2 linked regions of the Nothobranchius furzeri genome follow. Each later gene encodes a partner of the first gene's protein in a complex. Links are inferred from orthologs where the notes say so. Each region holds a gene or a part of one and is shown in the gene's direction. Other genes may lie near its edges. The genes, in order: sin3b and phf12b.

What was found.
Region 2: the proteins of sin3b (region 1) and phf12b are in contact, whole or in part, in a cryo-EM structure (PDB 8BPA), measured with the Homo sapiens proteins. The link is inferred for Nothobranchius furzeri from reciprocal best matches to the Homo sapiens genes SIN3B and PHF12. Residues at the interface, in NP_056075.1 of Homo sapiens: Glu307, Phe311, Leu318, Glu322, Val323, Tyr324, Glu325, Asn326, Leu328, Arg329, Cys330, Ile331, Leu333, Phe334, Asn335, Glu343, Leu347, Pro350, Phe351, Lys354, Phe365, Lys395, Arg396, Glu490, Glu493, Leu494, Val497, Tyr545, Arg546, Ile547; in NP_001028733.1 of Homo sapiens: Leu20, Met21, Gln23, Ile24, Gln25, Leu27, Leu28, Pro30, Pro31, Lys32, Thr33, Asn264, Leu266, Val267, Leu269, Val271, Val273, Phe275, Thr276, Asn278, Arg279, Ser280, Arg282, Cys292, Pro293, Leu294, Pro316, Asn317, His318, Ile319.

The regions. Positions count from the first base shown.
Region 1 is NC_091748.1:57,489,706-57,493,523, reverse strand, and holds part of sin3b (paired amphipathic helix protein Sin3b), read left to right. Parts: intron 1-2,705; coding exon 2,706-3,582; intron 3,583-3,818.
Region 2 is NC_091753.1:61,665,439-61,669,903, reverse strand, and holds the start of phf12b (PHD finger protein 12), read left to right. Parts: upstream 1-1,659; 5' UTR 1,660-2,304; coding exon 2,305-2,370; intron 2,371-2,675; coding exon 2,676-2,857; intron 2,858-4,296; exon of another isoform or gene 4,297-4,307; coding exon of another isoform or gene 4,308-4,321; coding exon 4,322-4,394; intron 4,395-4,465.

The DNA.
Region 1 (3,818 bases):
CAGGCAACAGCATGTGTTGCATTTTTCAAACATAAAGCAGGAGTGGAGTTAGTCTCTGGTAGGGGTTGACTTGCTCTTTAAGCTGTTTAACTTGGACCAAGCATTTTAGGTCACAGATAGGTGTAGCTTAGGGTCTCTGTCTATACACCTTATAAGACAATTTAGGTGATGGCATGTTGTTTTTCTGCTATTGAACTGTTTTCTAATAATGCTGTGTTTAATAAAGTGAAGGAAGGAGAAAAATAACGTTTCCCTAGCAGTTTTTAAAAATGTCCCTATGTAATCCGATTAATCGATTAATCGTGTCGAGACCCCATCCGATTAATCGATTATCCAAATAATCGTTTGTTGCAGCCCTAGTATATATATATACCCAGTGTATATATATATATATATATATATATATATATATATACATGCATACAAATAAATAAACAAAAACAGAACCCTCTTTTATTTTATGTCATTCTTCAAACCATATATTTGTATTACACACTCGCCTAAAGGATTATTAGGAACACCTGTTCAACTTCTCCTTAATGCCATTATCTAATCAACCAATCACATGGCAGTTGCTTCAATGCATTTAGGGGTGTGGTCCTGGTCAAGACAATCTCCTGAACCCCAAACTGAATGTCAGAATGGGAAAGAAAGGTGATTAAGCAATTTTGAGCGTGGCATGGTTGTTGGTGCCAGATGGGCCGGTCTGAGTATTTCACAATCTGCTCAGTTACTGGGATTTTCACGCACAACCATTTCTAGGGTTTACAAAGAATGGTGTGAAAAAGGAAAAACATCCAGTATGTGGTAGTCCTCTGGGCGAAAGTGCCTTGTTGATGCTAGAGGTCAGAGGAGAATGGACCGACTGATTCAAGCTGATAGAAGAACAACTTCGACTGAAATAACCACTCGTTACAACCGAGGAATGCAGCAAAGCATTTGTGAAGCCACATCACGCACAACCTTGAGGTGGATGGGCTACAACAGCAGAAGACTCCACCGGGTACCACTCATCTCCACTACAAATAGGAGAAAGAGGCTACAATTTGCACAAGCTCACCAAAATTGGACAGTTGAAGACTAGAAAAATGTTGCCTGGTCTGATGAGTCTCGATTTCTGTTGAGACATTCAAATGGTAGAGTCAGAATTTGGCATAGACAGAATGAGAACATGGATCCATCATGCCTTGTTACCACTGTGCAGGCTGGTGGTGGTGAAATGGTGTGGGGGTGTGTTATTGGCACAGTTTAGTGCCAACAAAACACCAAGTTTAGAGCCAGTTGGGCATGGTTTAAATGCCACGGGCTACCTGAGCATTGTTTCTGGCCATGTTCATCCCTTCATGACCACCATGTATCCATTCTCTGATGGCTACTTCCAGCAGGATAATGCACCATGTCATAAAGCTCCAATAATTTCAAATTGGTTTCTCGAACATGACAATGAGTTCACTGTACTACAACGGCCCCCACAGTCACCAGATCTCAACCCGATAGAGCATCTTTGGGATGTGGTGGAACGGGAGCTTCGTGCCCTGGATGTGCATCCCACAAATCTCCATCAACTGCAAGATGCTTTCCTATTAATATGGACCAATATTTCTAAAGAATGCTTTCAGCACCTTGTTGAATCAACGCCACAAAGAATTAAGGCAGTTCTGAAGGTGAAAGGGGGCCCCACATAGACACCATTCATGCTGCTTCTTGTTGACAATATCTAAGCTAACATTCCATCTACTGGGTACAGTGAGAAGGATGTTGCTAGCTAGTTAGTCCTGTAAAATATGGCATCTATGTGTGCAAAAAAAGATTATTCCTGATCTTTTTTGACCATTTGGACAGAAGACTGGTTTTTGTGGAGCAAAAAAAAGGAGAGAAGGCTGAATCAATCGCAGGTACCGTATAAGAGCTGAGAAGCAAGAAAGTACTCAAATTTTTACGGCTGCTAAACATCATAGAACTGAAGCAAGTTTTCACATTGCACACTGTACTAAACACAGAAAGCCATTTACAGATGGAGACTTATAACCTCAGACATGTTTTTATGGGCTTGGATGAAGAGTGTCCTCAGCGCCTCCCGTAGCTGCCTGACTGCTGGACATTTAGAGCTGGGTACTTCTTAAAGTTAATAAGTGTAATCCCCAGATAACTGAACTGGCAAATGCAAAACTGGGGTAGGAATCTCAATAACATGTTTGTCCCTGTAATAACTTATGTTGGTTAGTTTTATTTTTTCATATTGTTGTGAAGAGTCCATAAATACCTGTTGCATTTCTTATGGTTGATTGGTGGTGTTTTTGAAAATTTCTGATCTGCTATTTGCCAACATCTATCAACAAATGTAGTTCAGTGAAGTTCTATTACCAGCCCAATAGTGGATCGAACTGTAAAATTTTACAGTATATGGTATGAAACTGTTGATACGCAGCATTATTAAATTTCTTCTTAATGCAACAGTTCAAATAGCTCTCATCGTCAGAAAGGTTGCCGACCCCTGAAACGGAGCATTGATCGTTCTTGGCAGCCAGTTGCTTCTAGGCTCTAAGATGAGTGTTGTGTGATTCAAATTAATGATGGTTCTGCATTACCGAAAGAGTTTGTACCATTTATTCATCTCATTTCATGCTGTTTTCTTGGTGCACATCACTTCATCTGAAGCAAGATTTTCTTCTAAGTTTAAATCCTATGTGTTTGTGTTATTTCAGCGTCAGGAGCAGAGCACAGAAGAAGGTGGTGTTGGCCATCAAGGTCGTAACAGCTCTGGCTCTACCTCATCCAGTGAACCTCACATGATGTTTACATATGAAGACAAGCAGATCCTTGAAGACGCTGCCTCCCTCATCATCTACCATGTCAAACGTCAGCCTACCATCCATAAGGATGACAAAGACCACATCAAGCGTATCATTCAACACTTTGTTCCGGATCTGTTCTTCGCTCGCCGCGGTGAGCTCAGTGACACAGAAGAATGGACAGATGAGGAGGCTGAGCTGGAGGAAGGAGGTGAAAGAGGAGGAGCTGCACCATCTGTAGCTGTAGGAGCAGCAGCAGGAGGAAATGGTAATTCAGACAATTCATCTGGAGGAGTAGTGGCCACAGGAAGTCAAACTCAACCACAGGTGGCCCTGACCCACCCATTGCAGCAGCAACAACTACAGCAGCAACTCAATGGTGAGCCCAGAAGACGACGCTGCAGCCCATCACAGCCTGGAGAAACCGAACCCTCTGCCATCCCTGGTGACATGAGCCAGCCTGCAGGGACTACCGCACCCACACCAGGCTCTTTACCCATGGAGACTGGCTCCGGTGTGGCTGGGGAGAAAGTGGACCTCCGTGACCCTGAAGCAGAACACCAAAAGGAGCTGGATGGAGTCTACAACCTTTTTTTTGTCAACAACAACTGGTATTTCTTTTTGCGGTTGCACCAAACTCTTTGTTCACGATTGCTGCGCGTTTACCGACAAGCTGAGCAGCAGCTGCTGGAGCACCGAGCAGAGCAGAGCAGAGAGAGGCTGCTGATGGCAGAAGGAAGGAGGGAGAAGGCGTGTGACCTGGCCATGGAGCTTCGCCTCAAGCAGCCCAGTAAGTTTCAGCTGCCTTAGCAATGCAAAACATAGTAGAGGAACAATTCCAACTGAAACTGAAAAATAAGTATTGAGGTGTTTAAAATCTTGTAGGAAAAGTTTAGAGATTACAGCACACATGCATAACCCTAACACTAACCAAATGTCACAGTGAGAGAACTTTTACATACTTTTAATTCAAATGGGTTAACTATGCGCAGTAATTCCTATTGATGAAAAGATGAATATTTGTTG
Region 2 (4,465 bases), on another chromosome or scaffold:
AGGAAACCAAGAAAGAATCAGAGCAGGTCAGAGAGGTCGTAGTTCTGCAGGGTTAAATTAAATTCTAGAAGTTAAGATCTTTATTCTAAATATCAAGTTTGATTGGAAAAATATGTGATAATACAAAAGGCTATTAATACTGAATATGCTGATTATTCATGAGTAGCTCAACAATTTTGGTTTCGCAGTCCAGCATCAGGTATGATGACTGTCCTTAGGTGTGAGTGGGTGTGTTGTCCGACCTATCCAGGGTGTCTCCTGCATCTCGCTCAATGACTGCTGGAGTTAGAAAGCCCCCTGCAACCCTGCTGATGAAAAGCAGTTAAGAAAGAGAGTGAGCAAGAGTTTTGTTATGAACCGCCTTTTTTATTGAATAATAAAACTCTTTCCTCAAAATAAAAAACATAGTGATAATGGATAGCCTGAACACTGAATGTAATCATTATGAACATATTTAAAGCTAATAAATCAAGTCGTTCTGGATAAAATCAACTAGGCCCAACCAGAAACTGTAGAAAGAGATCACAATCATTCCATCAGCAAAGCAACTAAAACATAACCCTATCCGGCTAAACGCTAAGGCGGTGGCTCCCTCTGCTGGTGAAGCAGAGAAACATCACCAGACCAAGGACGACCAGTTTCTGCATTGTCTGAGTTTCACCCAACAGTTTGCATAAAAATATACAAATTTTTAAATGTTGCATTTTTGGAGCTTTATATTGTCCTTCCTTTAGTTTAAAAAGTAAAATAAAAGTAAATTCATTCGTTTCGAATTAATTTTAGTTTGAAAACCGTCCCGATGTTTTCTAAATTAATAACCAACAATCTGCTTATTGTGTGGAAAAGTTCTGAATCTTTTCTTCAGCGATTCAATAAACAGTTTTAACAGAAACGGAAGTTACGGTAACATCGCGAATGAGTTACTTTCAAAATATAAGCAGCCCGTTCTGCTTCACATCGCACAGGAAACGTAACACAAACAAAACAAAGCTACTACATCAAGTTTTTCTTTGAAAACTTTCCTAAACCAAGCCTTTTCCAGAAAAGTTCAGCAACCTATTTCTGCTGATTCTGCCATTCCACTAAAAAAAGACAGTGAAGGTAACAGGTTCTTTCATGAGCTGACAAGAACTTTTAAAATGCCACTTTAGGTCACTTTCAATTATTTTTAATTATTCCAATTTCATTGTACTGAAGCAATTACACTTTCTCAGCAAGAAATTGACCACAATGTAGAATTGAAAAGTACTATATGTGTAATAAAAGTATTATATGTGAGCTAAACATAAACATGAAAACTGAGGTTCATGTTTATGGATCTAAATAATGTAACCCGGAAATTTTATTTTGAAGAAACTCAAAGGAACAATACCGTATTGCCGCGTGTTTGAGCGCACAACCAAAAGCAAAGGTTTTCCTGACCATTTTAAACATTCATTGATGAGTTTAAATAGCTGAAAGTATAATAGATGAAAATAAATTGAAGCTTCATTTCTTTACTTTTATTTTAACGCCTACACTTTCTCAAAGACCTTTTTTTGTGTGTTTTGAGGCTTGAATTTTTTTAACTGCTGCAAGAGCCTTTAATGGTCTACAACGGACTCACACTTCGTTACACTCATTACAATATTAGTATCGTTACAATGTTGTCCATTTCTTTCCTTTACCAGTGCGCATGCGCGTCTGGCGGTTCGCGGTTGCGCCAACTGGTAGGATGTTGCTAATAGCCCGTGTAGATGCACAGCCGTTCCCCACAACAATAACATCTAAATTTGCATCTTCACACCCTTGAATCGAGTATTACATTTTCTAAACGCGCTCGGAAGCTGTGTTTTGGACCGAGGCACGCCGAACTTCAAAGTGGATTGTTTGGTTCTTTATTCTGTGGACAATGGGAGCGGAGGGGTTTGCAGATCTACAGGGCTCCCTTTTGCAGGACCAGAAGCGAGAATCATGGCTTGCCAGCTAGGCCGCCGATGGATTTTGTCGCCATGAGCAAATATCCATTGATCATCAAATACTGGATGTATTTTCGGTGATTGCACATAAAAGTGGTGCTACCAGGCTCGCGTCTTTCTCTGACTTCTTCTGTTGATAAGACCGAGCCCGTTAGCTTCACAACCTTGACTGGCTGACGTCTTGCGCGTCGTAGTTAGCTTTTTAGCTAGCTAGTGATAGCTAACCATCTTGCCGCTGGCCACAATCTTTAGGAATTCAACATTTTTGCGGGATTAGCACTCACTGCCGTGTATCTCAAGGAGATCAAACTTCAAAGTCTTTCCTGCAGCGTTTGCTTCTGAATGAATGTGGGACAAAATGGAAACTCCGACGATTGTGTACGATCTGGATACCTCTGGGGGCTTAATGGAGGTGAGGTTGCTACGTTTGAAGGCCTCAGTGGAAAGATTGAGCTTTTCTAGCACTCTGGTTGTTTGATGTTGTTTTACTTAGGGTAGTTATGGCCATTATAGCGTTTTTACGAGCGACTTGGTCAGTAAAGTCTGGTTAGGGTTTGTGATGTGCTCTCAAGTTGGTGGTGTCTCTCGCTTAGTTCTATGACCGAAGACTTGGTTGTTTATTTTAATAAACAACCAAGTCTTCGGTCATAGAACCTGCATTTTTTTACGTTTTTAAATTTCCTGTGTAAATGTAACCGCCCTGGTTTCATTTTACAGCAAATCCAAACTCTACTCGCGCCTCCAAAGTCCGAAGACGTGGACAAGAGGAGTCGAAAGTTGGTGAGAGACGTCCGGAGGAGCGGCAGAGCCACCAACCACGACACCTGCGACAGCTGCCGGGAGGGGGGAGACCTGCTCTGCTGTGACCACTGTCCCGCAGCTTTCCACCTACAGTGCTGGTGAGTGCTGGCTAGCAGCAGCAGCTCCGCGCGCTGTGGTGCTGCTTTAGCTAGGCGGTGAATGCTAACCATGGTGGGGCTGTAGATGCTAACCATGGTGGGGCTGTAGATGCTAACCATGGTGGGGCTGTAGATGCTAACCATGGTGGGGCTGTAGATGCTAACCATGGTGGGGCTGTAGATGCTAACCATGGTGGGGCTGTAGATGTTAACCATGGTGTGGCTGTAGATGTTAACCATGGTGGGGCTGTAGATGCTAACCATGGTGGGGCTGTAGATGCTAACCATGGTGGGGGGCTGTAGATGCTAACCATGGTGGGGCTGTAGATGCTAACCATGGTGGGGCTGTAGATGCTAACCATGGTGGGGGGCTGTAGATGCTAACCATGGTGGGGCTGTAGATGCTAACCATGGTGGGGCTGTAGATGCTAACCATGGTGGGGCTGTAGATGCTAACCATGGTGGGGCTGTAGATGCTAACCATGGTGGGGCTGTAGATGCTAACCATGGTGGGGCTGTAGAAGTCAGTTCTGCTCTGAATTACAGGAATTCCGTTATGACCCAACGGCTCTGGGACTACCAGCTGCCTGTTGGTGTTGAGCACATAATCTCTCTGTGAACGAATAAAGTTCCCTCTGCATTATCGCACACACCGGGGGATGTTGTCACGCCTATTACCTAGCTTGTTATAACCAGACGGTTGATCGTAACTTCGATGATTGCTCCAGAGGTGTGTTATTAAGGTTTGCTCTCTGCGGTTTAAACGAGGCAGAGTTGACTTGCAGTCGGTCCTCCTCTCCTGCTGCTGCTGCTGCTAAAAATGGAGTCGAGGCTGCCTCTGTTTACAATATGGCGACTTCTCTGCTCTCTTCAGCGCCATCTTACCAACCTTTACATTTCGGTGCCGAGGGGCGAAAGGTTTGCGAATAGCATTAAACCGGCGGTGTGGTTTTGTGAGTGTGTAGCGGTTGTTGTTGTTGTTGTTGATCGCTGTGACACTTCCGGTGGCGCATCAGGAACTTCTGCTTAATCACATCTGGTTGAGGAGTTGCGTTTTGGCTGTCACCTGGAAGCGATTTGACTATATTTGGTCATGGCGGTCAGTGGCAGGCTGATCTGGGACGTGACAGGTTGTGCTGAACTGTTAAACCAGCTGTGAACACGGGAATTTCCCAGCTATGCGTGATAACCCCGCACGGTAACGTGTCCCACCGCTGATGCGTTTCAGATGCCTCTGATTATTATAGAGCAGTTCCTAGATCAGCTGCTTTCATGTGGAGGAACTAGTTTTATACATATTCTACTGTAATGGCATGATCCGTCCACCAGGGGGAGTCATTGCTGGGAAAAGGCCTCCGAGTGCATTTTCAAATAGATTTGGTTTGATATTCAGTTTAAATCACGTGACTGAATGGACAGTTATCATTTCCTCCTTCAAGCCTGATGGTTTATGCTTGTTTATAGTAACCCACCTCTGAGTGAAGAGATGCTCCCGCCAGGTGAATGGATGTGTCATCGCTGTAACGTTAGAAAAAAGGTGAGTTGCAGGTGCGCCTGCACGATTCTTTTTTATTAGGTTAAGTTGTGATCCATCTTTGAGATGTTCGG